Macaca fascicularis: one gene and its partners. The protein of the gene in region 5 interacts with the protein of the main gene of each other region in a pairwise test. Links are inferred from orthologs where the notes say so. Each region holds a gene or a part of one and is shown on either strand. Other genes may lie near its edges.

Region 1 (4,288 bases), on a different chromosome or scaffold from region 5:
GAGATAGAGATGAGATAGATAGATGATAGATAGATAGATAGATAGATAGATAGATAGATAGATAGATAGATAGACAGACAGACAGATAAGCTAGAGAGAGTGATAGAGATAGTGATAGAGATAGAGATCTTTTTTTTTCTTTAAACAGAGTCTCATCCTGTTGCCCGGGCTGAAGTGCAGTGGCTCAATCTCAGCTCACTGCAACCTCTGCCTCCCAGGTCCCGGCGATTCTCCTGCCTCAGCCTCCCAAGTAGCTGGGATTTCAGGCACCCAGCACCACGCCCAGTTAATTTTTGTATTTTTAGTTGAGACGATGTTTCACTACATTGGTCAGGCTCCTGGCCTGAACTCCTGACCTCAGGTGATCTGCCCTCCTCAGCCTCCCAAAGTGCTGGGATTACAAGCATGAGCCATTGTGCCTGGCTGAAAATACTATTTTTAACATTAAATTTAATGTCCTTATTTCTAAGAAGATCACTAAAGAGTCTATACTATGGACACACAAAAAAAATTCAGTTCAGTAATAACTGATGACAATCTAGGCCCTTGTGAAATTCGAAATCATGTACACGTTGGTTTTCTATTTTTATTAAAATAACATGCACTGAAATACATTTTATTTTTTAAAATGGTATTTTCCTAAAAAGCCTTTTGATTGGTCTTAGAGCAGGAAAGAATGTTATCTAAATGAACCAGAACTCAACCAGCACAGCAATTAAATATATTTAACACTGTAGCTACTCATTTAAAAGCCTGCTTTTTTTTTTTTTTTTTTTTTTTTTTTTTTTTTTTTTTTTTTGACAGAGTTTCACTCTGTCACCCCAGGCTGGAGTGCAATGGTGCGATCGCTGCTCACTGCGACTTCTGCCTCCCAGGTTCAAGTGATTCTCCCATCTCAGCCTCCCAAGTAGCTGGGATTACAGGCACCCGCCACCACGCCCGACTAATTTTTGTATTTTTAGTAGAGACCAGGTTTCACCATGTTGGCCAGGCTGGTATAAAACTCCTGACCTCAGGTGATCCGCCCGCCTTGGCCTCCCAAAGTGCTGGGATTACAGGCATGAGCCACCACCCCCAGCCAAAGCCTGCTTATTATTTAAAGGTTTGTTTGTACTTTTCTTCTAGTTGTCTTCTGATTTCAAACACTATGGTTACCCCAGACCCTTTGTAGCAAGACCCTTTGATGAAGACTAGCTGACTACAGAGACTCTCAATGTCAGGGAAAGAGAGAGGATTTAGTCACAATCAAAGGAAATCTTCGAAAGGTCACAAGTCTGCAATAGATGCTCCTATGCAGGCTTTTGAGACAAGATATCCCCCTGTTGTCCAGACTGGAATGCAGTGGCATGATCATGGCTCACCACAGTCTCAAACTCCTATGTTCAAGCTATCCTCCCACCTCAGTCTCCTAAATAGCTGGGACCACAGGCACATGCCACCATGACTGACTGATTTTTTAATTTTTTGTAGAGATGGAATCTCCCTATGTTGCCCAGGGTGGTCTCAAACTCCAGGCCTCAAGTGATCCCCCTGTCTCAGCCTCCCAAAGTGCTTGGATTACAGGTATAAGCCATCATGCCCGGCCCGCATGGAGTTTTAATTTAGGTCCCTGAGAGGTATTTTGATTTTGTGTTGGGATCACATGGTTATTTAAGAAAGAAGTAACAGCTAATGATGAGAATTGTAGTACACCAATCTTCTATGCCACTTGTTCAAGACACCCAATTCACTAAGAAAATATGAGCTGCTCCAATCATTTTGGTTTGAATTTGCTCCACAGAGACAACACTTACAACCCCTTACCACCTCATTCGCTGAAGCTAAGAAGGAAAACATTAAGAGGGAAAGAGTAATTCCACAAAAAAGAAAAACATTAAAAAAGAAAACCAACCAGCCTCAAAGTTTTTCATAGTGACAACATTCATGCATGATGTGTATAATCAAATAAAACACATCACTTGGGGTTATTTTTCTCTCCAAAAGTTCATACAACCAGTACACACATGTATACATTAAACAAGATATGAACATCTAAACTGATCAGAAAAACTAAGTCACCCCGGAAGTAAACTTCAGTGAGAGAAAAGTGCATGACACTTTCCCTACACAAAGTTAGGCATATACACGTCTCATAGAGAAGCCTGCACTGAAACAGAAACCCCAGCGCTTATACAATCCCCCAAAGTACAAACGTTTTATTCTCCCCTTTCTCAGGTTGAAACTAAATATTTCAAGAAGTAAAATGCCTTTTTAGCCAACAGAGTAAATCAAATACAATATGGGATGAGGTCGACCAATACTCAACACCACACAGGAGGCTTCTTCTCTATACGGCAGTAAACGGTCAGCACAGAGTAAGCTATTTTGAAAATCTACAGGGAGGTAAAGTGAAGCACATTTGCTACCACAAATGTAGGGATCCTGGAAATCTTCTTTCAAAGAAGCTAATAACTCTAGTGAATTATCACCTCCTGAAGAGAAGTGCAAAGCAGACAGCGTTAGTCTCTACTCTTCAGGGTCCACAACAGATGTGGCAGCAGGAAGGACAGGCTGTCTGTTCCCGTCACCAGCCTGGTCCTAAGCTTTGGTACTTAACAAAAGTGAACGAGAGAGCCCTGTCTCCAGAGGCGCTTCCTATGAAAACCTCACTGGCTGGGAGTAGCACAAGTTGACAAACTTACCTGGTAATCTCTTGCAAGCCTGGACAGCTACATGCCCTGGCAAATCCAATCTGCACTTTTTCCAGTGAAACGTGGTGGCTGCTGGGCTGCTCATCACCTACATCTGCTTAGATGACAAGGAAAAAGATGTGGAGGAAGTGGACAACAAAAGCAGCCTTCGAACTGCACACTGGGATGTCTTTTTTTTTTTTTTTTTTTGTGGCTTTTATTTTTCTCATGAGAGGATCTGACTAAACCTAACTAACCCCACCTCCTCTAAACACCAGACAGGAAGTTACACTTTGCAGTCAGTGAAAACTCCTTAGGTAGGTTTTTTGTTTTTTTAATAGTCACAACTAAGGGCCTCTATTCATGTTCCTATGACAGAGATTATAACTTTGCTTCCTGTTTTGACAGTGTCAGCTGGGAAGGGGCACTCCACCCACCTTCCTACCCACTGTGTACATAAATAAAGGTGTTAGAAGGTGATTGCCCTGGGTATACAACTGGCCTTAGGAGTTTTGTTACATATTAACTATACTTCAAAGAATAAATTGGGCTTATTATTTCACTGTAGTAGCTATATATACCTTGGGGAAGTAAAACTCAAAAGGATTTCTTCTTCATCCCTTAGAAATTGCTATTATGGAAAAAATAAACCTAACCACATGCAGCTATAAGATAAGAGACCACCATTTAGACTATTTTTTCCAGCCTATTCTCTTTTATGGTCGCTTTGCTCTCTTTATTATCATAGTTTTTTTTTCCACTCTTGTCACCCAGGCTGGAGTGCAATGGCATGATCTCGGCTCACTGCAACCTCCGTCTCCTGGGTTCAGGTGATTCTCCTGCCTCAGCCTCCCAAGTAGCTGGGATTACAGGCATCTATCACTACCCCTGGCGCTTTTTTTTTTTTTTTTTTTTTTTTTTTGTATTTTTAGTAGAGACATTGTCTCACCATGTTGGTCAGGCTGGTCTCGAACTCCTGCTGTCACTTCTGCATGTGTCCTCCACATACATGCAAAAAGCAAGGAAAATCATTATTCATATGATCATTATCTACTTTCTAGTCCTTTTCTCATTCTTTTTCTTGCTTGTTGTGAAATAGAAATTTTCTACTTATTATCAAAGACTTTTCATAGAATATGTATCTTTGTCAGGATACACACAGGTTTGAATTCAAAGGCATCTCTCATCCTGCTACTGTACTGTGGTACAGAAAAGAGAAACTGACAGTACTTCCCCTTCGCTCCTCCTCTTCATCTCTACATTTTCCTTAGACTAGCAGCTGTATAACTCTGGCAAAATACTCTCTCTCTCTCTCTCTCTTTCTCTGTCTCTCTCTCTCTCAGCCTCAGTCTCCAAATCTGTAAAATGGACAAGCTGACTTCACCTGTCTTCTAGGACTGTCACAGGCAGAGAGACCAGGAAAAGCGCAATGATACAGATGATGTCACATAGTCAATACCCAATAATCTCTTTTTGCATCAAACTTTATTGATATATAATTTATATATTATACAATTAGCTCATTTACACTGTATAACTTAATGATTTTTAGTATTTTCAAAGAATTCTACAACCATCACCACAATCGATCCCCATCCCTTAGCCCAATGCAACCACTG
Region 2 (3,500 bases), on a different chromosome or scaffold from region 5:
AGTAGAATTTTGGAATTAGAACTAGAAATACCTTCCAAGTTTCCTACTTTTGTTAAACTAAGAAATACCTATAAATTGTATTTTTAAAAGAATTTGTAGTAATAAAGTTTCCTAGTGGTATCTGACTTATTGCATTATAATTTTAAACCTTTATTTCAATATAATGATAAAATGCTTGATCAAAACTCTTATTAAATTCTAAGTATAATAATCATGATAGCTACTTTTTATTGAGTGCTATGTGCCAAGTACTGGGCTAAAATCTTCATGTAAGTTGTATATATAAAAATAATATATATATACACACACACAAATATATATACATATATATACATGCACATAATCTTTACAACTAATCCTTTATAAGTATTATATCCATTTTTTAGATGAGAAAACAGGTTCAGAAACATTAAATAATTTACTCAGGATCACACGGCTAATAAATAGCAGAGTTGGATTACTGGATTCAAATCCAGATTTTTCAGACTCCAAAGCCCCATGAATTTTGACCTCAAAGCCAGAGAATGCAAATCAGGTTCAACTGTTCAACACTGAGCAACTAGTATTTGCTTGAATCTATGTATCAAGAAGAATTCTGAAACTTCCAGGAGTAAATTGGCAGTATGTTCTGTGAAACATGGTTGGTGCAAGTCAGAAGGTGTGTGTTTGGCTCTTTTTCCCCATCTCTAAGCATTATAATATGTGATAACCGTTTAAGTTCAATTTAAAAGTATATTAGCATTCTGGCAGAAGGTCACATTGGGCAGTCTGCATTTCTGCTAAAGAGGCATTGAGAGGGACCTTTTATTTTTCTCTTCTGTAGACTTATACACATGAACAACAGGTTCCTTGTGCCTAAACTTCTAAGAACATCCTCTAGTTCTTCAGATCAGTATCATAAGACCTCTTTCACTGGGAGAAGGGATCTTGTGGGAGAGAAGTGTTATAGTCAACATATATTTATAAGAAGAAAGGTGCACTAAAGTTCAGGCTCGTTATTAAAAAGTAAATGGATATGTTTTTCCCCCACAGTTTTCAAACCTAAATGTGTATTCACAAGTAAAGAGTTACTACTCCCTTTTAAGGTTTTGTTTAACGCATTAGCATAAAAAAAAAGGAAAAAAGTTATTTCAACTAGGTTATAACTTCAGCTACATTTTAATAATGAAGGAATGGTTTAACGACATTTCCTGGTTCAAATTACATGTATTCCTAGATGGTGGTAATTAGAATCTTAGCTGACTTTCTTAGATGTTTATGCCCTTGACACGTGAGTTTTGTATTTCTTTTAAAATAAGGATTTGGTGAGTGAAAAATTGAAGACCCAACAAATGAACAATGATCTTGAAAAATTAACTCATGAGCTTGAGAAGATAGGGTTGAATAAGGAGAGACTCTTACATGATGAGCAAAGTACTGATGACAGGTGAGTACTAAGTCTACTTGGCAAACAGTTGAAAAAAATTTTTTTTTTTTTTTTGCTCATACATTAGTTATTTTCTGTATTAGCTATAGAAAACATTTATATATTTCACCCTATTTCTGGTTCCTTTCTTCCCTTAAAGAAAGTTGTGTGGCCGGGTGCGGTGGCTCACGCCTGTAATCCCAGCACTTTGGGAGGCTGAGGCGGGCAGATCACCTGAGGTCGGGAGTTCGAGATCAGCCTGACCAACATGGAGAAACCCCATCTCTACTAAAAATACAAAAAAATTAGCCGGGCATGGTGGTGCATGCCTGTAATTCTAGCTACTCGGGAGGCTGAGGCAGGAGAATCGCTTGAACTTGGGAGGCAGAGGTTGCGGTGAGCTGAGATCGTGCCATTGCACTCCAGCCTGGGCAACAGGAGTGAAACTCCATCTCAAAAAAAAAAAAAAAAAAAAGTTCTTAAGGAGAAAAGAGGAATCATAGACAATCTAAATACAGATACAAGAAAATAAAAACCTAAAATGTTACTATATAAATACAGTTATAAAATAGGAAAACAGGATGCTACCCAGGTAGCAGAAGATCAGAGGCTATAATTGACTGTGAAAACAATAAGACATTAACAACAAACCAACCTCCGGCTCATCAAACACAGTCAATTAAGCAAGTTATTTTTTATCTGAATCATGTGCTTAAATACCTCTGTTCTTTCATTTATTTGCCACAATGTTGACTTAAAGATAAATGGAGGAAAAGTATGAAACAAAGGAAAAGAAAAGCAACTGAGGTATAAAAATAATGTGGAAAACTAAAGCGTTAAAAGCTGGATATGAGTTAAAAAATTAACTCATATGCCTTTTAATTTTAAAAATGATCAGTATAGGTTTAAAGAAAATATATATTCTCTCATGGTAATTACAGTCTATCAAATAGAGTTAATCTGATTTTCAAGTAGTCTATTGTTTAGCATCCAGTCAGCTCCATGAATCCAGCTGGAATAGAGGTTGTATATTGTTAAGAACATTATTTTATGTAGACTAGATTTTCATTCCATTTCTGTAATTATATAACTTATATTTTATCTACTCATTATTACTGTTCCAGTATTTATATTCTATATTAAATGTATATTGGAAAAATTAATGGTGATTTGTTCATGTAGTTTTGAGAATGTTCAAAGTAAATAGGATAGATTGATACTTAAAAAGTTAGTTGTGTAATAACAGAGATATAATTTGAGGCATATATTCTAGCAATCAGTTCAAGTCAAGCAATGATTATTGAATTAATTATACAGATATTTCATGAGGAAATATTTTTATTTGAATTAATCAGATAGTTTTAAGTGCAGATTTCATTGACTGTCTTTTAATATAGATACTGAATATGCATCCCCTCTTTATTCAAACAGATTTATTATCTACTATATGTAAGACACTGTACTGCATGTTCTTTGCAAAAGAAAAAGTAGAGTACACCCTATAGTGCTAAGTGACCCTAGGTTCATATAAATTTATGAACCCAGCTCTGGGTGGACCCTTTATACAGTTTGGCTCCTCGTCCCAAACCTTAATTCATACAGTTAGCCAATGTTAATTGAGCTCTTCTTATCTGCTGATCATCTAGCATCGAAGTAGTGATAATGTTTCAACTGAATCTTAAAAAATGACAGAGGTTTACAAGGTGGGAACAGTGGGGAAGGGCATTCCATGTAGACAAAAGCATTTGTATAAAAGCACAAAAATGTGCTGAGCAATTTTTAGAGTATATAAAAGATGGATTACAAAAAGGATGAATTTGTAAGCACAGAGACAGGCTAGGAAGTGATTATAATAGTCTAGGCAACATGTGATGGCATTCATTATTTCCACATATTTATTTACATATTAGGCATGGAGGTAAGGGTATATGTTGAACTAAAGCTTTTTGGAAATAGAAAGTGGCTTGAACTACTAAACCAGCTTCTTTCTCAGCCAGGGAGTTAGTCTTTATGTCACAAAAAAAAACCCAGAAGCTCACAGACATATATTCCTTTAATGTGCCATTCCCTCCACCTTGGGATTTAGGTGTATCAG
Region 3 (4,164 bases), on a different chromosome or scaffold from region 5:
CAACTATCTGCTGTGTCTTTGTGGTGGAAGCTTAGTTTTCCCTTCAGTTTAATTTGATGATTGTTTTCGTTCATATTCGGGGAAGAGTCACTCTGTTGGAAGAAGTCCCCGAGCCTGGCATCCTTCAGTTTTCCCTATGCTGAATGTGAGGTTTAAACTTCTTTTTCTTTGTAATATACTGTTTCTGAAGGCCAGAGGCCGCGGCCAGTGGCACCGTGGCCTCTCTCTCCGCCAAGGGTGCCTGGGCTTTGGACCACCCGGGTGCCAGAGGTGGTGGAAGACCCAGTCAGTTGTTCCTTGCAACAGGTCTCTAAGCTTGTAAGTTACAACATAAGGTGGGTGGGGTCGGAACCCCAAAAAGCTGGCGTCCGGGACACCCCACCCTCAGGTTTTCTTTACCAGACACTGGGGTCCTCGCTGCCGCTGCCGAACTTCTCAATCATATTACTTTATTGGACTTAAATGGAAATTTCTTGACGGAGGGAACCGGGTTTGTTCTCCCAGGCTTCGCGCCGCAGTCAAGCAGAGCCCCGGGGCAGCTCGCTCACAGCGGAGGAGCAACTTTGGAGTTTTACGCCCTTTCCACACCCCACCCATGGACTGGAAAGGATGTTCAGTTACTCGCGGGCTTGTTGTCTGATACTGGGATGGAAAGTCACAGTCCGCAGGCTGGAGTGAGACGCGGGAAGATGCCTGGTCCTTGCCTCGCGGACTCGGCAGCCGCGTCCTTCGAGTCTGTCCACTGAATTGCGGAGGGCTCGCCCGTGTGCGGGGACCCGAGTGCCACTGCCTGGAGCGTTACCTTGCGCTCCAGCCTCCAGGCTAGCTAATACCTGGAGGGCAGGGCAGGGCTGTTCCCGCTCTCACCCCTTGCGGAAGGATGGCAGGATCCGGCGCAGCGACGTAGCAGCGGGAGAGCACAGCGACCTGCGTCTCCAGTTTCTCCTCAGGACACAAGGCTGACTTCACCTTCCGGACAGCTGCAAAGCCCCTGCCACAACCAAACCAAACTAGCGCCTCGGAGAGGGGCTTCTGGAGTCGGTTCACTGCAAGGCGTGGGGAGTGGAGAGAGGGAAGAAAGGGGAAGCCTGGGGCTGGGTGTGCGCGCGTGGGAGCGCGCCTCGGAGCGCCCCGCACTCCCCCACTCCGTCCCCGGGGGCACTTTGGGAAGGAGGGAGTGGTAGTCGCGGGAATGAGGGAGAAAGAGAAACCCTCTCAAACTGACGCCCCAAACAGGTCCGGATTTAGAATTCGAAGCTAAAGGCTGTTAGAAATCGGGACTCCTCGGCCTCCTCTGCAGCCCCTCCTTTCCCGCCCCGAAGCCCGGGCGGTTTGCTGGCTGCCTGCTTCCCCGCCCCCGGCTCAGAGGTCTCTGGCTGGCGGGCGCCCCGTCGGCCGCCGGCTTCCTCCTTGAAACCCGCCGGCGCACATGAGGCCGCTGCCCCCGCCGCAGGCGCTGGCGGCCCCCTCGCTGTGCCCGTGGTGATGCCATGCCCCGCCACCACGCGGGAGGAGAGGAGGGCGGCGCCGCCGGGCTCTGGGTGAAGAGCGGCGCAGCGGCGGCGGCGGAGGGCGGGGGGCGCTTGGGCAGCGGCATGAAGGATGTGGAGTCGGGCCGGGGCAGGGTGCTGCTGAACTCGGCAGCCGCCAGGGGCGACGGCCTGCTGCTGCTGGGCACCCGCGCGGCCACGCTCGGTGGCGGCGGCGGTGGCCTGAGGGAGAGCCGCCGGGGCAAGCAGGGGGCCCGGATGAGCCTGCTGGGGAAGCCGCTCTCTTACACGAGTAGCCAGAGCTGCCGGCGCAACGTCAAGTACCGGCGGGTGCAGAACTACCTGTACAACGTGCTGGAGAGACCCCGCGGCTGGGCGTTCATCTACCACGCTTTCGTGTGAGTACCCGCGCCCCCTGCTATGCCCGCTCCAGGGGACCACTGTCCCTGGCCCCCTGGGGCGTGCTCCGCGCTCGCGCCCTTGGGCCCCGCGCGCGTGCACACGTGGTGGCTTTTATTTCTTCGCACGTGTTCGTGGTCTTCCTTCTGGAGCCTCTCCCTTCCCCCAGCCCCACTTCTCCCATCTCTACAGCTTGAACCATTTCCCCGAGGACACCCAATGAACTGCCCGGCAGCTTCAGGCTCCCGGGGCGGGAGCCAGGCAGACGCGGGACTTAGGCTGCGCGGATAATTGGGAGCAATTAGGTCCCAAGATACGTAAACTTCAACCGAACGGGGCGCCCGGGAGCTAGGGAATGCAAAGGGAGGACAGGCGCCTGTGTGAGGCTTGAGAGTACATTGGGGAGGTTAGGAGGTGATGGCTGGGTAGGACCGGGAGGAGTGAGGTGGTACCGAGGGCTAGGTCCTCAGTCCTAGGGGCGGAATAGGGGAAGCTGCTACTTGGTAGAGAGAGCTGCTAGGTTTTAAGTGCGCCCGGAAACACGCCTCGCCACCACCCAGCCACCACCAACGGAAAATCTGTCAGTGCATGTAGCCCTTCCTGCCACGGAGAAGGTGGCCAAGGTCTAGAGGAGGCCAGCAGGCCAGGCGAAGCAAGGCTCCCGCGCTGCAGCGGGTTGGGAGGCAGCGGGGAACCTGGGGCGCAGGAACGCGGGCAGAGGTGCGATAGCAGAAGCGCAAATGGGTCGCCTCGGACAGAGATCAGGCAGTGGATTAAGTCCCCATTTGTGGGGCGGAGTCAAAGTGTGTGTGTGTGTGTGTGTGTGTGTGTGTGTGTGCGTGTGTGTGTGTGTTTTCAGTAAGCCTTCTCCATCTAGCAGAGAATGCTTAATGAGAAAATGATTGGAAGCAAATGTTTATTTTTCCCTTAGGCATTTAAAACCTTTCAGTGGCTTTAAAGTTTACTACTGTTTTTCCCACAAAGTCCATTCATTCAGTCTCCTATTAGAGTCACGTTTATCTGGGCATTTTAAGGTTGTTTTTATAATGTTACCTCATGTCTAATTCTTTTTTTCTTCCTTTTCTCCTTTTGCTTCCTCTCTTTTTAGTATCATTATTTCTGCTTCTTTTTTGTTAAGATGAAATATAAAGACATCAACCTTAGAAGACCAGTAGAGAAAGTTGCAGATACTTGCTGATACATTCCTTGTTTCCTAGTAAAATAAGTCTTGAGCACACGGACTAGGTTTCTTTTAGAGATAAGTTGTGTCATCCGTACATAACTCTCTCCGGGGGTGTAGAATTAGCATCAACACCAGAAACGTGTTTTGAAATAACGTGGAAGAAGGGCTGGTTTTGTAACTAGGTGAACCTGGAATTCGACCACATAGGAGTCAGGAAATTGGTGGAGTCTACAATCTGTGGGTCTCTGGTATCTGGAAAATTTTACAGTTTCTGATTGATGTGAACATGTAGCATTAGGCGGAATATTCCAGCCAACTTTCCGTTTTACAGTGCACACAAGGAGAACGGTTGTGTTGCATCAGTATTACATCAAAAAGTATAACTTTTATGTAAGATTCACATTTATTTAAATGTGGTTAGGATAATGATAGAGAAATGCTACTGACACTTTTCATATTAATCTCCTCTGAACTGATATATAATTAAACATATTACTTAATAAGCCTGGTAAATTATTTTGACCTGTCAGAATATACTGAAATAATTTAGCAATTATGATACTCAATTTGGTAGCAAATATGTACTGTATAGATTATGATTTTTTCTTTACAACTGTATGCTCAAAATATGTATGGTTTTGAATTTTAAGTATGATACCATTTCTAGCCTTTCATTTTTGGTATATTATGCATTGTATATTCAGACAGAGTTAAAGAAAGCCTTGGTTGGTGCACATACTTTGCATCTCCTAACTTGTTCTTGAACATCAATGAGAACTTGCAACGCAACATTTTCTTTTCCATGTGTTGGTGTTAACAGGTTTGTATGGGCTTACAGAATTTTAAAACATTGATAAATTATTTTTCCAAAGGTTCAAGGTTGTATACTTCTCTATCCACCAAGCTTTATCAGTCTAGCAGTATCTTTAGTGGTAGATAGGAAATAAATTACGTACTTAATAGATGTAGCTTATGTGAAGTTTTGCATTATATATTTTAGAGTCTGAAACTGTAATGCCTCAGCAATTAGATAGGGGTGCTAGATCCACATTAGCACAAAGAGGGAATGGATAGTATCATCTTCTGGGAGGA
Region 4 (3,944 bases), on a different chromosome or scaffold from region 5:
AGCTTCCATGGGAAACTGGGGAAACTCTAATGCAGACCCCGCACTAGGCTTCCCCATAATTTCTTCTCTTTTCAATGGGTGAGGTTCCGCTCCATGGTCCAGCTTCTGGTATCAGACTCCCTCTTTCCCTTAGAGAGACGCGTTTTCTTCTGAGAAGCACTTCAGTCGTTCAAGAAACAGCCGTATGGTACCCTCTTGGGTTCAACTGACCTGGGGTGTTTTTCCTACAGTTCTAGCAAGGGGGAACGAAGTCCTACACTTTGAGGATGGCATAAGGGTACCATCTACTTAATTTTTTCAAAAAAGTAGCAGGTCTCGTGGAAACGCCGGAACGTCACAGAAGACGTGACTTAAACGGAACTTGTGATGGAAATGATTTTCTAAATTAACAATTGCGAGACAAGCAAGGAAATCTCCAGGTTTGCAGATAGCTTGATTAAAGCTCTTCCGGGTGGCAAAATGCCAGTGCAATCAATGGTATGAGTAGAGCGGACAGTGGATGAAATTTGTTGAGTACATCTCAGGACGAATTAGCACTGGACTTTCAGGTATTCTAACTCAATTCTAATCATTCCATTCACTGGATCATTGGATAAGGTTCCGCAGGATCCGGGCGCCAGCTCTGGATACATTACTCATCGGGAGAAAATTTCGAATTTTTCTCTTATCCCTTTCCAGCTTTCCTCAATATAGGATATGAGTTTGTTCTCGACCCCTAACAACATTTAAAGGGAAAGTCGCTCCTAGCAGGCAAAGCGGGGAGGACTTTGCGGCTGTGTTTCTCAAGCCCGTAAAGGGAGAGTAATAATGGTAGGGGGCGTGCAGACTAGCTCTTTCCTTGCCCAATCAAGTGTACAGGAAGATGTCTTTTCACCAATAAAAATAAAGTTCGCTTTCCAGGGGCGGGAGGGTGAGCCACTGCTCCGAAGCGACATTTGAGGCGAGGGCAGAGAATGATTAGAGGGAGGACCAACCCGGGAAAAGGGGCGGGGAGAAGGTGGGAGCAAGTTTGAGCGGCGGCTGGCCAGGCCAGTGGAGGGGGAGGACTGTGTTCCTGTTGTAGTGTCTCTCGCCAATCAGGAAGGCCAGAGGGTGGGCGGGGCAGGGAAGGGGTGGGAAGAGCTCGCAGCACAGCCGGGCGGCCGTCGGGCTTTGGGAGAGAGCGAGAGAGAAATCCGGTTAAAATCAGAGTCGGAGGGAGGTTTAACCAAAGATCGGTTCCGTTCGGATTATTCCTTAAAGGGGACGCGCCATTGTCAAGAGAACGGAGCCAGGGGCCCGAGGGCGGGGACTGGCGGCGCTGGAGGAGCGAGGCAGCTGTACTAGGACTGGGGACGGGTAGGTGTTGACTAGGGAAAGGCGCTTCATTTCACTTTCTCTTCCAGCTCGGGGGCAGGCGCCGGGATGCCCGCCGCCGGCAGCCCAGCCTGGGCGGGAGACGAGGTGGTCGGCCCTCGCCAGCTGCCCTTCCTGGTGGGCGCTGTGGGGAGGCGGTCCAGGATGGCTGGCAAGCGGCGCGGCCCGGGCCGGCGCTCGTAACGGACACCAAACCGCGGCGCAACCCCAGCCTCAAACGAAAGCCCGCCCGAGCTCCGGCGGTTCCGCGGGGACCGCCGCGCGCCCAGCTCTCCCGCGCGTCCCCTTCCCCTTCCGTGCCTGGCTCTTCTCGCGCGTGCCCGGGTCCCCCTTGCTCGCCGCCTTCTCGCGCGTCCTGCTCTGCTCGCGCGCCGCCTAGCCACCGACTCGCGGTAGCCGCCCCGCGGGAAGGAAGGCGGCGGCGGCTGCAAAGGTGGAGGAAGACCGGCGACCACGGCTCAGCTACCCCGGCTCCACCGCCCCGGCTGGGAAGGGAAGGCTGAGGAGCAAACTTAGCGCGGCGGCTGGTGGGCCCCGGCGGGCAGGGCTGCCGGGGACCGGCGGAGCGCGCCAGCCCGGCCGGGCATTGTCCGCCTTTTCCCTTGCTCTGGTCTCTCCGCCCACTGCTCGCGGCCCTGGGGAGGGGTGCGGGCGCTGTGCCCGCGCCGCCCCGGGCCGTTGGCGCACCCCGGGACCCGGAGCTTTCCGGAGCCAGGGCCAGCCCTGCGGCCACCGCCCGCGAGCTGACTCGGCCTGTGGAGTGCCTGCTGCTCTCAGTCTCGGCACCGGGCAGGGTGCCTGGGCGCTGAGCTCTTTACAACTTTTCTTTGCCGTTTGATGGAAGTTGTTGCTTCCGGGCGGCAGGTTCTTTGGGCATAGCCTGGTTTCCTGCGTTCTGGAGAGGCTGGTTTCTAGGGCGAAATGATTGGTTGCTGCTGGTATTTCCTGCCATCCTAGTTTCGTTCCTCGCCACCTGAAATCGCGTTTTTATGGATTTGCAATGATATGGTTGCATTAATCTTTCCTAGGCCAAGATTTGAAAAGAAAAAAGCTGGGGGGGGGGGGCGTTAGGGTGTGTGCTTGTGAAAAACAAGAGTTCTTAGTAGAGCTGAATTTGCCCTTACCTTTGAACTGCAGAAAATACTACCTCGATTCACTGGCTGGCGTTCTTTTGGAAGGGTTGGGGAAAAAAGACACAGCAAAATAGGTTGCCGGGGTCTGTCGGATTGCGGGGGGAAAGGGGTTTTGATGGAAATAAGGTTGGTTTTATAAAATGCTGTGCTGCCTAGGAGATATCGTCTGTAAAGTTGATTCTGCTACTGAATTTATAGGCATTATAATTCGTACCAACAGCTTTTACTATTGATAAAACTAGTATAAGACGTCTTTTCATCTTGAGTATTATCACTCTGCTTAACCTGTCAATACTTGCTGAGGAAATCAGAGATAGCACATTCCTTGTTAGAGGCCTTAGTGAAGAATGTTTTCATAAGCATTCATTTTTGACAGTTTCTCCTTGTGCAATACTTTGTCGAGTACCTACATGTGCAAGTTACAACCGTATAAACAAAGTAGCAGTGGGTGTGTTATTCTCTGGTCTTTTTTCTGCTACTCATTATCAAAAATAGCATTCCATCGTGTCTTTTCTTACACTCTGAATTATTTTGTAAAATTAGTTCTCTAAAAGAGGGAATTTTGTTGAAACATGTGACCCAGTTTTTTTTTTTTTTTTTTTTTTGATTAAAGCAATCCAACTTTTTAAAGTGTTCATTGATTAATTTGCTGTCTAGTAGCTTCCGAGTGGTGTGGAACATTGTAAATTCACAGGCTCAGCAGTAACAATAGAGAAACTACTTGGGAAATTGAAGGCCAATATCAGATAATGTTTGAAAGAAAAATCTATTCTTCTCACAGAATTTAGGAAATGAAGACACACAAAAACAAATTCTTTGGGTTCAAGTGATCATCCTACCCCAGACTCCGTAGTAGCCGGGACTACAGGTGGGCACGACTGCGCCTAGCTAAAATTTTTATTTTTTGTAGAGATGGTGGTTTCACCTTTTAATTTTTTATATAGACGGCTAGTCTCCAACTCCTGGCCTCAAGCGATCCTTCTGCTTTGGCCTCTCAAACTGCTGGGATTACAGACTGAGCCACCGTGCTTGGCCGTTTGTAGTAATCTTGATGGTATCTGGAATTGTTTCACCTAATATTCCTTCTTTTCTATTTTTTTCTTTGATCCATTTCTGTGATAAGGATATCAGGTAAGCAGCTAGGCATAATCTTCCTTCCCATCTCATAGTAAGTAGACGGTTAAACCAAGTTTTTTAAAGTCTGTTTTTGTTTACTTACTAATTTATTTAAACAATAAAAGAATTTCTCAACTTTTAAAAGAGCACATATAAATAAAACATTCAGAAATAATTATCTTTGAAATATCTAGACTGTATTTTCTGAAAAAGACTTTTTCCTCTTTTGTGCTTTCTACATTGTTTTAAACACATTGTTTTATATGAACACATTTCTTGAGTTATGAACTGTTTCTTGAGATCTTTGGGAGCTAGGATTATCCTCCATTTCTGTGCAGA
Region 5 (3,500 bases):
GAGGCCGGCCAGATGTGGAACGAGGGAGAGGGAGGTGTGGAAGATGGTTGTGGTTTCTGGCCTAAGAAACTGGATAGATTCTATGCATTCGAATCAACCAATATTGGAGGCCCTTCAGAATGGGTTTGGGGGAAAGACAAGGGCATTGGTTTAGGCAATGACTAACTGGAAGACTCCACACATCACCCAGAATACCAGCCTGCATCTCTGCTCTGGCCTCAATCCCTCTCTGCATAATAAATCAGAGGGCTGGGCTGAGGTCCCTGAGGGCTGAAAAAGGGCAAACAGGGACAGGGCTAGGAACACCAGACTGCAGATAAAGAACGGAAGGTAGATGCTCTTTCGGGGAATGAGCATGAGCTTCTGCAGATTCTCCTCCCAAATGCCTGATGAGTGGGTGCTCCACTTCCCTACTCACATGAACACATCCCCACACACATGCGAGTGCACACACACCCACAAATACATACTCACACACGCATGCATACACACACATGCACACACAGCACAAACATGCACACACACATACACACACACAGCACAAACATGCACACACATACACACACGCACACACATGCATACCTATATGCACACACGCACACACACACACCTATATGCACACACAAACACGAGTGCACACACACCCACAAATACATACACTCACACACGCATGCACAAACATGCACACACAGCACAAACATGCAGACACACATACACACACGCACACACATGCACACGTATATGCGCACACACACAAACACATGAGCACACCCACAAATACACTCACACACGCATGCACAAACACACGCACATGCACACACATACACATGCACATGCAAACACATACAAGCACACACATGCACACCTCTATGTGCACACACACACACACAAACACACATATGTACACCCACCAGGATTAAAACACAGTCTGGCAATAGATCAGCCACAGAGCATCTCTACCTGGGCTTCTCTGGGAATTTTTGTGGGTAGAGGAACCCTGCCTACTTCTGGCTATACCCACCTCTCAGATAACTGGATAGACAGCAACATCATAAGGCTGGGCCTTAGATGTCTCCAGTTTGTCCTTATTTCCAAAGCAGCTACATTCTCATTTGAGCCTTAGAACAATCCTATGAGTTGGTGTTATCTCTAAATACGGAAACTGAGAGCCGGAGAGGTTCAATGACCAGAAGCGAAGTCTCCTGATCCTATGGAAGGCAGCAGTCACTGCAGCAGGATGGAAGGGAATGAGTGAAGTGGATGAAGAGCAGGATCGCCCTGATACAGGGCATCCCCATTTTTGTATCTCTCAACCCCTTCTAAACATCATCCAGCTCAATCTCCCCTGCCCCCAGTTTCCTGTCTCAAAGCAGAGCTGAGCTGAGTTAACCACGTCTCACCTAGGCCAGGGCCTGTGGAGGAGCCTGCGGCCCAATGGAGAGCAAATCTGAGCACCTACGTGACAGAGAAGACAAAAGGGAGGGTAGATCTGTGTCCAATTCAAAGAGACAGAAGTGTAGCAACATCCTTGTTCAGCCAGCTCCAAAAGGAGCTGCTGCAGCTTTTAGGAGGATAGCAGTTGAGCCCAGAACCCCTCACTTTCTGCCATCTGCCCAGTGCTAATCTGAGCTCACGACAATCTCGGGCTGCAGAGGTGGAGGAGACACTGACCTCCACCTGCCTCCGGTTTCTCAGCAGGCAGTCCCGCAGCACTGGCTCCCATTTCCTGAGCAGGGTGTCCCAAGAGTGGGCATCCTCCGATCCGCTGCTCCCATCACCACCACAGCCAGCCAGTGAGGGATCCAGAGAACTGGAGGAACCAGAGTCCATGTCCGGTAAAGAATGCATCTCACACTCTGGCCTGGAGCTGTTCCCGGCGGCCTGGGCCAAGTCCTCTGAGACCTGTGTAGCCAAGAGACTGAAGGGCCGAGAGAGACATCGAGGGTCCTTATGAGGCCCGTCCAAGCTGGCAGCTTTGGCTCCCATCTCCTGGGGGCTCTGGCAAGGGGACTCGGCCTCTCTGGATGGTGGGCAGCCTTCTGCTTCTCCACGTTCCCCGGCAGAGCCAAGCGAGAGCCGAATAAAGCTAAAGCTTGAGGCAAAGGCACTGTGAGAGCCAGGAGGGGTTGGGGGGTCCTCAAGGCCACAGCCAGGGTTGCAGCTATTGCTACTCAACTCTGCTGATGGCACAGAGCCTGCTGCCTGGACACACCTTGCTCCATCACTGCAGGCTGCCTCCCAGCTGGTGTCCAAGGTCTCAGAACTGTCCATGGCTGCAAACTCTTGCTGCCACCCAGCATTCCCAGGGCCACACAGCCTGCTAAGCCTGTCAGGCAATCTGGTGCCACCTCTGAGCTGAATCCCAAAGTGTGCCGAGGTTCCTCTCACAGAGGTCACAGCAGGGGCTGCTGCGCTCTTGGAAACAGGGCTCCCAACCAAGAGGCCTCCCAGGTCAAGGCCACACTCTCTGGTCTTGGACTCCAAGTGGTGGGACTCCTCGCCAGGCACCCCTCCTGGGACCCGGAACAGTGTGCCCACTGCTGGGGAAAGGAACCCGATCCCAGGCCCTGTCGAGCTTCTCATGTAGCCCGGCCTCCGTGCCAGCCGCCGCCTCCGAAAGCACGCTGCAGGTGGTAAGCAATCCCGGCCGCCTGGGAAGGAAAGAGAAAACAGCACTATAAACGTGCAGTTCTTACTGGCCCAGCTGGAACTGCATCTGGAGCACATCCCTAGGTTTAAAGGTCATCTCTCGGTACACCTGTCAAAGATACATGCTGGCTCAATGGTCCTGGGGCCAATCCGTTATGAAAATCCCAACAATCCTCAGGAAGTGTTTGCCTGGAACATGTAGAAATCAACACAGCATCTCAGCTCCTGGGTTTAGCAGAGCAACTGGCACTGCTGTATGCTATGCCCACAGGTCAGCATGAACACAACTTTGGTGGCTCCTGAACCCTCCAACATCTTGCCTGTTGGTCTTTTATGGCACATCAGTACTCTCATCCTGGAGTGGGCCTGGAAAGCAAATGACGTGAAAGTGGGATGCCAGAGCATGCCCCTAAATGAGATCCAACCATTTACTCTAGCTATTCATTGAACAACATGTGAATGTTCACTAGCGGGGCTATCCATGTCCCTGCAAGACTGATCTGTTGCTGCAGACCCATGGATAGCTGGCTGTGCTGCAATGTATGGCCATCATCTCATCTCACTCAGTGAATGACAGGAGGCCTGCTTGATGTGTTCTCCAAACCAGCACTGCATTCCCCTTCCAGCTAGGCTATAGGAATAGGAACAATAACAAATGCTGATTCCTCATTGCCTGGTTCAAACCCTGACTGTACCACTTGCTGGTTGTGTGACCTTCCACAAAGTTACTTAACCGCTCTGTGCCTCAGTTTCCCCATCAGTAAAGTGGTGATATTAACAGCTCTCTCATAAGGTGGTTGTGAGCTTTCAACTAAATGAGTTACTATTTGTAGACAGCTTAGAACAATGTC
Region 6 (4,263 bases), on a different chromosome or scaffold from region 5:
CACGGAATAAATGAATTATAGAAATGGCATTTAGAAGGGAAATTCCCTGTGTCCTGGCCGAGACCAAACATGAGAACATTGGGAACCATCTCCTCCTAACTAGATACCAGTCAAGAGGCCTTGGTGGTCTGCCCTTCTCCACCCTCTCCACAGTCACAGCTGTGAAAAATATGTATACAAAAAATACATATAAACAAACACAAACGCAGCCTGTTACTGTCATAATCCCATTAGTTACGCCTGGACACTAAACTCGGCTATCTGAATCAACAGAAATCTGAATACCAACTTACCCTCCATCATGACACTCATACACCTAATAATCCTTAATAAAGCATCCAAATAATGCAATTGTACTTGACTTAGAAAGAGCAAACGATGAAAACAAAACAAATACAGGCTAAAGGAATCATTTACTATCCATTAAAAAACATATACATTCCTTTTAAAACAACCTACTGAATTTTAACATACTTATAAATGTCTTAGTGACATAAAAACTAAAACACATTAATCATTTCATTTATAAAATGGTTTCCTATAGAAAAAATGCATGCTTGGTATTAACCAAAGACAGAAGAGGTACTGTAATGTCACAGTTGCGAAGGTCCAATTAATAAACACCAACTTTTCATGTAGAAAGAAATTAATGCATAGCTGGGTTGTGGTTATACATTATGGATGATCCACAGAATAACGCTGCGACTCCCCACACTGACTGCACCATTGCCTCCGCACACCACTGGGCCCCGTCCTTCCTGCAGCCCCTCCCTATGGCTCAGGTCCCCTGGTCGCAGATCAGATTCCGATCCGCATCCGCAGGCCGGCTCCCCTCTGCCTGCATTGGTGCTGCAGGGGGCCCCTCCGAACGAGCGCAGCCCAACGAGAGGTGCAGGAGGGATGATCCCAAAAGAGAAGACTCTCCCCTGCTCACACCTAGGTGACCTGGTCCTCCTGACGCCACATCCAGCAGAAGCTGCAGGACAACGTAGTGGCAGCTTCAGGCCTCGGCCAAGGGCAGCCCCGGGCCTGGGTGGGGCCGGGCGGGGGCCGCAGGCGCCGAGCGGCCGCCAAGCCCCGCCAGCGAGAACCAAGGAAGCTGCGATACTGCTGCATTGTGCTGCATCACGGCGAGGGCACCGTGAGCCATCCATCTTGCCAAAAAAGCACATCCCCTCCCAAATAAACCCCACCGAATTCAATTTTCTCCTCCGCCAAAGCACCCCCACACGCACCCCGTCCTCACTATCTGGCCTGGCTTTGGGTTGGAAAAATAATGGACAGAGGTTTGCGTTCTGATCCCCACCCCCTCCCCATCTGATGGCAGCAGTTGGCACCCTTCCTATCACAAAAACAAAGAGAAGGCGCCCCCTAAAAGAGGGCCGTGGGCGTGGTGTGGGGGGTGATGACGAGAGGGGCTTCCAGCCCACCTACCCAAGGCAGGCCCGGAGGGTCCCCGCGCTGAGACAAACCTGTTGAAGAGAGGGTGGCTGGAGCTGAAGGGCGGGCGCAGCGGCGGCTCGGCGCCCGGAGGCGGCTCACGCCCAGCCCTGGGAGAGTGGGGACGGCAGAAAGGGCGGGGGGGCGGGCGCAGAAGGGTAGCGAGCGCTGGGACTGGGCGGGGGTGGGGGCGCGGGGCCGCCGCCTCCAGCTCAGCTGCAGCGCGGCGCAGCCGGGACCACGCCTGGCCGCATCCCCTGCACCGCTACGCGCAGAGCCCGGCCCTGTCACAGCCGCCCCCGCTCCCCACCCGCGGGGCCACAGGGAGGGCACCAGAAAATAGACCCTCCTGCTGCCCGCTCCGCACCCACCTCCGCGCCAGGGGCCGCCGCGCCCGGCTGCAGGGAGGCGACGGCGGAGGCAGTGAGGAGGAATCGCCGGGGCTGGGGCCGGGGCCGGGGCCGGGCGGCAGCGGTGCGCACGGCGGATCTGCGGCCGCCTCACCGCAGAGCCTGCCGCCCCTCGTCCCGCATCACCCGAGTACCAATGAGCACCCGCGACCCGGGCTCCCCGCGCCGCCCCCGCCCGGGCTCTGCAGCCTCCCTGCCCCCACGCGGCTCCCCGGGCGCAGGGCAGGCGGGCAGCCGCGTTCTCCGGCCCTGGGCCCGCGCCCCTCCTCCCGCCAGTCCAACGCCGCGGAGCCTGCCCGGGAGGCAGCCCCAGTGAGTTGGCATCTCCCTACCTCGGGCCCCCTACCTACCTCCCGGGGATGGGGTGGGGGCGCCGGGGTCCCGTCCTCCTCCCGCTCCTCGGCGGCCGGGCGGGTGGGCCGGGAGGCGACTCCGCGGGTCTGTCCGCGGCTGGGGCCGGGGCTCACAGGACGGGACCAGTGGGCGCTGCTGCGCAGGGCTGCGCGCTAGCTCCGGGAGGAGAGGCGGCCGAGGGAGGGACTGGAGGAATCCGCAGCCTGCACGGCAACAGCTGCACTGATTCCGGGGGCTGGGCGGGAGCGCGGGGGGCGGGGGAAGGAGGAGAGGAGGGCGCTCGCAGGGAGGGGGCGAGGGGCGGGGAGAGGAGCGCGCGGGGCGGGCGCGCGCGCACACACACACACGCGCACTCGCGGACTCCCTCCCGCACGCCCTCCGCCCTCCGCACTCCTGCCTCCCTCCTCCCTCCCCCCTCCCGCCCGCTCCCTCGGCTTCGCCAGCCCTCTCCTGCTGCCCCGAGCCCCGCAGCTGCCCACCCGGCGCTCGCTCGGCCAGGGAGCCGAGCCTCGGGCGCGTTCTCGTCCTCTCCAGCCGAGGCTTTTCCAGGGCCCATCCCGGACTTCATCCTCCCAGCGGCGGGGACAAGGCTGGCCGGGGCGGGGTGGGCACTGCTGCTGCCGCTACCCGAGCAGGACAATAGGGGCTTTGTCCCCACAGCCGGAGAGGGCCAATTTCACGTTTAATTTGAGGCTAATTCGATTATCGCCATGGAAAGAGGCGGTCTAATTTTCTACGTGACTTATGCAGCCTCTTTTCGCCCTTGATGTTGCGTTTGGAATGCGGGGGAGAGAGGGTGTTTAGGGAGGCTTTGGAGCGTCACTTGCTTAGTTGGTTTGAGATGCAGGTGGTGATGCCTTACAGGTTCTGCCCGGCTTGGAGAAGAGAAGGGCGACGGCGACCTCTTCGTGGGAAACCTTGGGCGCTGGAGGGTGGGTGGGGGTCGTTCCTTGGCGAGGTTAACGTATTCTTCTTTTGCAAATGCTTTTTCGCCCACCCTTTCGCTTTGGGTAGCTGGGAGCAGACCCTACAAGTGGTTCATCCACCCAACTCCTGCCTCTCAGCGCAGGCTCCGCTCGAACCTGAGGCCAGGTGCCCTGCCCAGTCATTCCCGAGAGTGGGGTCGTCCGGCCGCGGCGGAGGGCCCGTGATGGCGTGGGGACTTGCGTTTTCCCCTGTGCGCATTCCTTGAAAAAGAAACTGGACGTTTCCTCGAATTTTTGTCATGTGCCATGCCCCTTCCCAGTCACCTGGTCTACCCCGTCAGCCCCTCAAACTGTGTAGAAATTCCAGAACCGTCACTATTGTGAAGAAAAGATGGTGGAATCACCAGGAACCCGAATGGAAACGCTCTTTAGAAAACAGTTTGAAGAAACTGACTTTCTCCTTGTTCTGTAAGGTGCACAAGGCGGCACTGCGGGCATTCAGAGGGAGGAGGGCCCTTCCTGTTTGAAAAAACACCAGGGATTTTCCCCATAAAGACCTGATCACCTGGATTAAAACAAAACAAAAATAAAAGGCAATCAAGTAGTTTGGACCATGCTTCTATCTCAGATCACTAGAACCTGGTCTGATGAGTTTATATGTTTGTATTTTTAAATGAATATTTTAAAATAAAACTTAATGAAATTTACACAGCAAACTGAAGGTGATTCTTCGTTTTAGGCCTTCATAGGTTTGAATGTTTGAACCTACGTTTACTTTTGATAGATAGGAAAAAAATTGAGGAAAGCAAATAACATTTTTTCTCAGAAGGTGAATCAACACAGCCACACGGTAAACTCTCTAAGGGTAGGGTTCGTTCTTTCTTCACTCTGTACATATAGCAGGCGCTTAGGAGATACTAAAAAAACATTTGTTGAATTGAACAGAATCAACTTGTAAGCTGCTGCCCTCATTAGGTAATAAGGGAAATCCACTAGAAAGCAAAAAATAAAGCACTTATTTATTTTTTACCATAGACCCCAGCACCTCCCCACCTACAATGTTAGTGAGATACCAAAGAAAACAGTAACAATATTGGGAAGTGCATGCATTTAAACTAATTCTTCCAGTGTTA
Region 7 (3,989 bases), on a different chromosome or scaffold from region 5:
CAGGGTCTCCTAATCAGGAGTTTGGGTTTTCTCCTAAGGGTGCTGGGGCCATGGAAGGCTGGGAGTGAGGGTGTGCCATGGTTTTATTATGTCTTAGAAAGATCCCTCGGCCAGGTGCAGTGGCTCACTCTTGTAATCCCAGCACTTTGAGAGGCCGAGGTGGGCAGATAGCTTGAAGTCGGCAGTGAGGCCAGCCTGGCCAACGTGGTGAAACCCCGTTTCTATTAAAATACAAAAATTAACCGGGCGTGGTGGCAGGCACCTGTAATCCCAGCTACTCGGGAGGCTGAGGCAGGAGAATCGCTTGAACCCCGGGAGGCAGAGGTTGCAGTGCGCCTAGATTGCGCCACTGCACTCCAGCCTGGTCGACAGAGGGAGACTCCCTCTCAAAACAAAACAAAATAAAACAAAACCAAACCTCTAGCTGCCATGTGAAGGGTAAATGAGGGAGGCAGAGTGCATGCAATCAACGCTGTGATCTCAGACAAGAGAATCTGTAAAAAGGCAAACAGGAGAGTTTATTTGAAGATTCAGGATTTGGGAAGCTGAACACAGGAAGAAAGGGGATGGTGCAACACACTTCTGAGCCTTGCTCAGGACTTGAAATCCAGAGTGCCTTCATTTAAAAACTCAGAAACACCCTCAGGGTTGGACCTTTTTTGGCTTGAGAAGCCACCCATTTTTCAGAGATGGGTAACTGAGGCCCTAGAGAGGAAGGGAAGATTTGTTCAAGGTCACACAGGTAGCTGACAATAGGGCTCGACGCCCGGGTCCGGCTCCGCGTAGGGCATGGCGCTGCCTTGCAAAGCAGCCACACCCGCCAGCGACATTCACAACCCACCCCCCAACCCTAGAGGACAGCAGGGAAATCCCACTTTAAGAACCGAGAAACTTTTTACAGCCTTGGAACACGGTAACTTTGGGAGCAGAGGCCACACCAGCTCTGTTTCCCCGCGCGCCCCTTCTCTCATTCCCTATTGGTTCTCTCTACCAGGGGTACCGTCCGGGGACCCTCTGGTCACCTTGTCCTCCGCGCGCTCTATGGCGAGAGGGACCTGCGCAGGCGCGTGAAGGGCCCCTTCAGGGCCCGCGCTTTACGACACTTGTGCGGCAGCGGCGGCGGCCACCCGGCGCTCCTTCGCGACGGTTCGGCCGGGTGCCGCTGGCGGCCGTTGCCAGGGTAGGGGTCGCTTTGCGGCATGGCGATGGCGGAGGGCGAGCGGACTGAGTGTGCTGAGCCCCCCCGGGACGAGCACCCGGCTGATGGCGCTCTGAAGCGGGCAGAGGAGCTCAAGACTCAGGCCAATGACTACTTCAAAGGTGCGCCCGCCTAGCAGGGAGGGTGGACAGCGGCTCAGGCCGAGGGTGCCGGGCCCGCGCGGAACCATGGCAACGCGGAGCTGCAGTCTGGGCGCGGGGCAGGCACTACCAAGTGACTGGGCGTGGGGAGGCCCAGGATGGCGCTACCAAGGGGCGACATAGGGGGCTTCGGAGAGTGATACATAGGAGTGGCGTGCGGAGCGGGTGCTACTCAGTGGAGAGACTGAGGAGGGCGTCACCAATTGTGGGGCGAGAGGGGGACTGGAATGAGGGCGCTACCAAACGTGAGGCCTGTAGAGGGCGCTACCAGGCAGTGACATGTGGTGGGGGAGTGAGTGATGGCGCTACCAAGTGGGGAGTCCTGGGGTGGGTGCCGCCAACTGGGGAGTAGAGGAGGGACAGTCCCAATAGAGGCGGCAATCGTGGGGGTGGGGAATGGATCATTAGATGGGCGGAACAAGGAAGTAGGAGATTTGGGCTGACCGAGGAAAAGGAATGTGATGGTGGGGGCCTTGGGAGTAGGGGTGGGGATCCCCAAGAATAGTGTCACTTAGAATATTGAGAAAGAGTCAAGTGTGGGGCACCCATTCATTCATTAATTCAACAAATATTTATTGAGTACCTGTTATGTGCCAAGGACTGTGCTTGACTCTAGGGATATAGCAGTGAAGGAGAGAGATGTGGTCCTGTCCTTAGCTTGTAATTTTGCAGGTGAACCAGACGTGAAAAAAAAAAAAACATGTAAATAAGTAAAATACTTAAATTGTGATGAGTGCTTTGAAAGCAAACCAGCAGCGTGATGAAGTAGAGAATAAGGGTTGGAGGCTACTTTAGATAGGGTAGTGGGGGAAGGCCTTACTGAGCAGGAAGCATTTAAGCTGAAACTCACAGAGGAAGAACTGGAGAGGAGTGTTCCAGGGAGTTAAGGCAGCCTGTGCAAAGGCCCTGGGGTGGGGAATGAAAGGACACTGGCATGGCTGGGGCTTTTGCTAGTTAGCGGGAGACCAATAGCAAGATGAGATTAGGACAGAGGGCAGATCATGCAGGGTCTCCCCGAGTCATTGCAAAGAGCAGTTTGGAATTTTTTTTTTTTTTTGAGACGGAGTTTCACTCGTGTTGCCCAGGCCAGAGTGCAATGGCGCAATCTCAGCTCACTGCAACGTCCGCCTCCCTGGTTCAAGTGATTCTCCTGCGTCAGCCTCCCGAGTGGCTGGGATTATAGATGCGCATGCACACCACCATGCCCACCTAATTTTTGTATTTTTAGTGGAGACGGGGTTTCGCTGTGTTGGCCAGGCTGGTCTCGAAACCCTGACCACAGGTGATCCGCCCACCTCAGCCTCTCAAAGTGGTGGGATTACAGGCGTGAGCCACCACTCCTGGCCCTACAGGAGGACACACTGAGTAAGTAAATGGCACAGTCTGGACTGGAGAAGAATTTGGGTGTGATCAAACTATGGTTGGGAATGGATGAGATAATCTAGTAAGAGGGTCTAGAGAGGGGACTTAGGACAGATCCCGAGTGGAAGAGGGGGAGGCTAAGGAGGACCGCTTAGTGAGGTGGAAAGGAAGCCAGGAAAGGTGTCGGGAAGGCGGAGAGAAGAGAGCGCTTATAGAACAAGGAGCTGGTGCCCTGAGTCCGATGCTGCCAAGGCGAGCACTGGCCATTGGCTTTGGCTCCGTGGATGCTGATGGTGATGTTGACAGGAGCAGTTGTTGGGGAATGACGGGGCTGGTGCAGCCAAGAGGGCGCTGAAGAGTGAATGGGAAGGGAGGGAGTGGAGAGAGCAAATGTTAAGTGTTAGGAGTATTGGTTCTGAAGAAGAGTGGAGAAATGGGGGAGGGTGGTAAGAAGTGAACGTGCGCAGGAGTTCAAGAGCAGCCTGGCCAACATGGTGAAACGTCGTCTCTACTAAAAAATTAGTCGGGTGTGGTGGCACACACCTGTAGTCCCAGCTACTGGGGAGGCTGAGGCAGGAGAATCGCTTGAACCTGGGAGGCAGAGGCTGCAGTGAACCAAGATCACGTCACTGCATTCTAGACTGGGCAACAGACAGAAAAAAAAAAAAAAAAACAACATGCAGTGTCAGGGGAAGATGGATTTTTTGTAAGGATGGAAGAGAGTAGAGTCCAGTAGAGATGGAGAATTGATTCTGCATGTGAGAGGGGAGACTTGCAGCAGCAAAACCCTGGAGAAGGTGGAGGTGGAAAGGATCTGGACCCCTGGAAAAGAGTTGGCCTCCAGCAGGAGCAGAAGCAAAGTATGGAGAAGTTTGATCTGGTGGGAGCCATGAGAGGGAGGTAGGACCAGTGAGAGATGAGGCCAGAGGTAGAACCTTGGAAGTCAGATTGGGGAATGTGGGTGTCATCCTGAGGGTGGTCGATGCCATGGGATGTTTCAAGAGTGGGGTGCCGTGGTTCAGTTACCATTCAGAAAAGATCCCTGGCTGCCATGCAGAGACTGGACTCCAGGGTAAGACAGGAAGGAGGCTAGATTAGTGGACAGGTGAGGGGTGGTGATCGCCAACCAGGCTGGAGGGACAGAAATAGATTCAAGAAGTGTTTCAGAGAGGAAGTGAGAGTGGCTGCCTGGAGAGAGGGTAGACGGTACTCCAGGCAGAAAAAAAAAAAAAACAGGTGGCAAAGGCCCAAAGGTGAGCGGAACCTGG

The links.
Region 1: the proteins of DISC1 (region 5) and UTRN interact in a two-hybrid assay, tested with the Homo sapiens proteins (2 studies listed by BioGRID and IntAct). The link is inferred for Macaca fascicularis from reciprocal best matches to the Homo sapiens genes DISC1 and UTRN.
Region 2: the proteins of DISC1 (region 5) and CCDC88A interact in a two-hybrid assay, tested with the Homo sapiens proteins (2 studies listed by BioGRID and IntAct). The link is inferred for Macaca fascicularis from reciprocal best matches to the Homo sapiens genes DISC1 and CCDC88A.
Region 3: the proteins of DISC1 (region 5) and KCNQ5 interact in a two-hybrid assay, tested with the Homo sapiens proteins (2 studies listed by BioGRID and IntAct). The link is inferred for Macaca fascicularis from reciprocal best matches to the Homo sapiens genes DISC1 and KCNQ5.
Region 4: the proteins of DISC1 (region 5) and FRYL interact in a two-hybrid assay, tested with the Homo sapiens proteins (2 studies listed by BioGRID and IntAct). The link is inferred for Macaca fascicularis from reciprocal best matches to the Homo sapiens genes DISC1 and FRYL.
Region 6: the proteins of DISC1 (region 5) and SPTBN1 interact in binary tests that used the Homo sapiens proteins (3 or more experiments, as listed by UniProt). The link is inferred for Macaca fascicularis from reciprocal best matches to the Homo sapiens genes DISC1 and SPTBN1.
Region 7: the proteins of DISC1 (region 5) and PPP5C interact in a two-hybrid assay, tested with the Homo sapiens proteins (2 studies listed by BioGRID and IntAct). The link is inferred for Macaca fascicularis from reciprocal best matches to the Homo sapiens genes DISC1 and PPP5C.

What each region holds. Positions count from the first base shown.
Region 1 is NC_088378.1:48,552,103-48,556,390, reverse strand, and holds the start of UTRN (utrophin), read right to left. Parts: upstream 2,801-4,288; 5' UTR 2,776-2,800; coding exon 2,682-2,775; intron 1-2,681.
Region 2 is NC_088387.1:66,479,896-66,483,395, forward strand, and holds part of CCDC88A (girdin), read left to right. Parts: intron 1-1,298; coding exon 1,299-1,426; intron 1,427-1,565; coding exon of another isoform or gene 1,566-1,668; exon of another isoform or gene 1,669-1,918; intron 1,919-3,500. UniProt on the Homo sapiens protein: Bifunctional modulator of guanine nucleotide-binding proteins (G proteins). Acts as a non-receptor guanine nucleotide exchange factor which binds to and activates guanine nucleotide-binding protein G(i) alpha subunits.
Region 3 is NC_088378.1:102,410,311-102,414,474, reverse strand, and holds the start of KCNQ5 (potassium voltage-gated channel subfamily KQT member 5), read left to right. Parts: upstream 1-1,364; 5' UTR 1,365-1,490; coding exon 1,491-1,888; intron 1,889-4,164. UniProt on the Homo sapiens protein: Pore-forming subunit of the voltage-gated potassium (Kv) channel broadly expressed in brain and involved in the regulation of neuronal excitability.
Region 4 is NC_088379.1:48,354,044-48,357,987, reverse strand, and holds the start of FRYL (protein furry homolog-like), read left to right. Parts: upstream 1-1,144; 5' UTR 1,145-1,338; intron 1,339-3,944. UniProt on the Homo sapiens protein: Plays a key role in maintaining the integrity of polarized cell extensions during morphogenesis, regulates the actin cytoskeleton and plays a key role in patterning sensory neuron dendritic fields by promoting avoidance between homologous dendrites as well as by limiting dendritic branching.
Region 5 is NC_088375.1:17,386,538-17,390,037, forward strand, and holds part of DISC1 (disrupted in schizophrenia 1 protein), read right to left. Parts: intron 2,652-3,500; coding exon 1,672-2,651; intron 1-1,671. UniProt on the Homo sapiens protein: Involved in the regulation of multiple aspects of embryonic and adult neurogenesis. Required for neural progenitor proliferation in the ventrical/subventrical zone during embryonic brain development and in the adult dentate gyrus of the hippocampus.
Region 6 is NC_088387.1:67,390,502-67,394,764, forward strand, and holds the start of SPTBN1 (spectrin beta chain, non-erythrocytic 1), read right to left. Parts: upstream 2,801-4,263; 5' UTR 2,684-2,800; intron 2,393-2,683; exon of another isoform or gene 2,201-2,392; intron 2,163-2,200; coding exon of another isoform or gene 1,603-2,162; intron 1,506-1,602; exon of another isoform or gene 1,435-1,505; intron 1,142-1,434; coding exon of another isoform or gene 971-1,141; intron 890-970; coding exon of another isoform or gene 765-889; intron 1-764. Other genes in the region: uncharacterized protein, read left to right, coding at 765-889, 971-1,141, 1,603-2,162, 3,069-3,396. UniProt on the Homo sapiens protein: Fodrin, which seems to be involved in secretion, interacts with calmodulin in a calcium-dependent manner and is thus candidate for the calcium-dependent movement of the cytoskeleton at the membrane.
Region 7 is NC_088393.1:54,379,203-54,383,191, forward strand, and holds the start of PPP5C (serine/threonine-protein phosphatase 5), read left to right. Parts: upstream 1-1,189; 5' UTR 1,190-1,199; coding exon 1,200-1,320; intron 1,321-3,989. UniProt on the Homo sapiens protein: Serine/threonine-protein phosphatase that dephosphorylates a myriad of proteins involved in different signaling pathways including the kinases CSNK1E, ASK1/MAP3K5, PRKDC and RAF1, the nuclear receptors NR3C1, PPARG, ESR1 and ESR2, SMAD proteins and TAU/MAPT.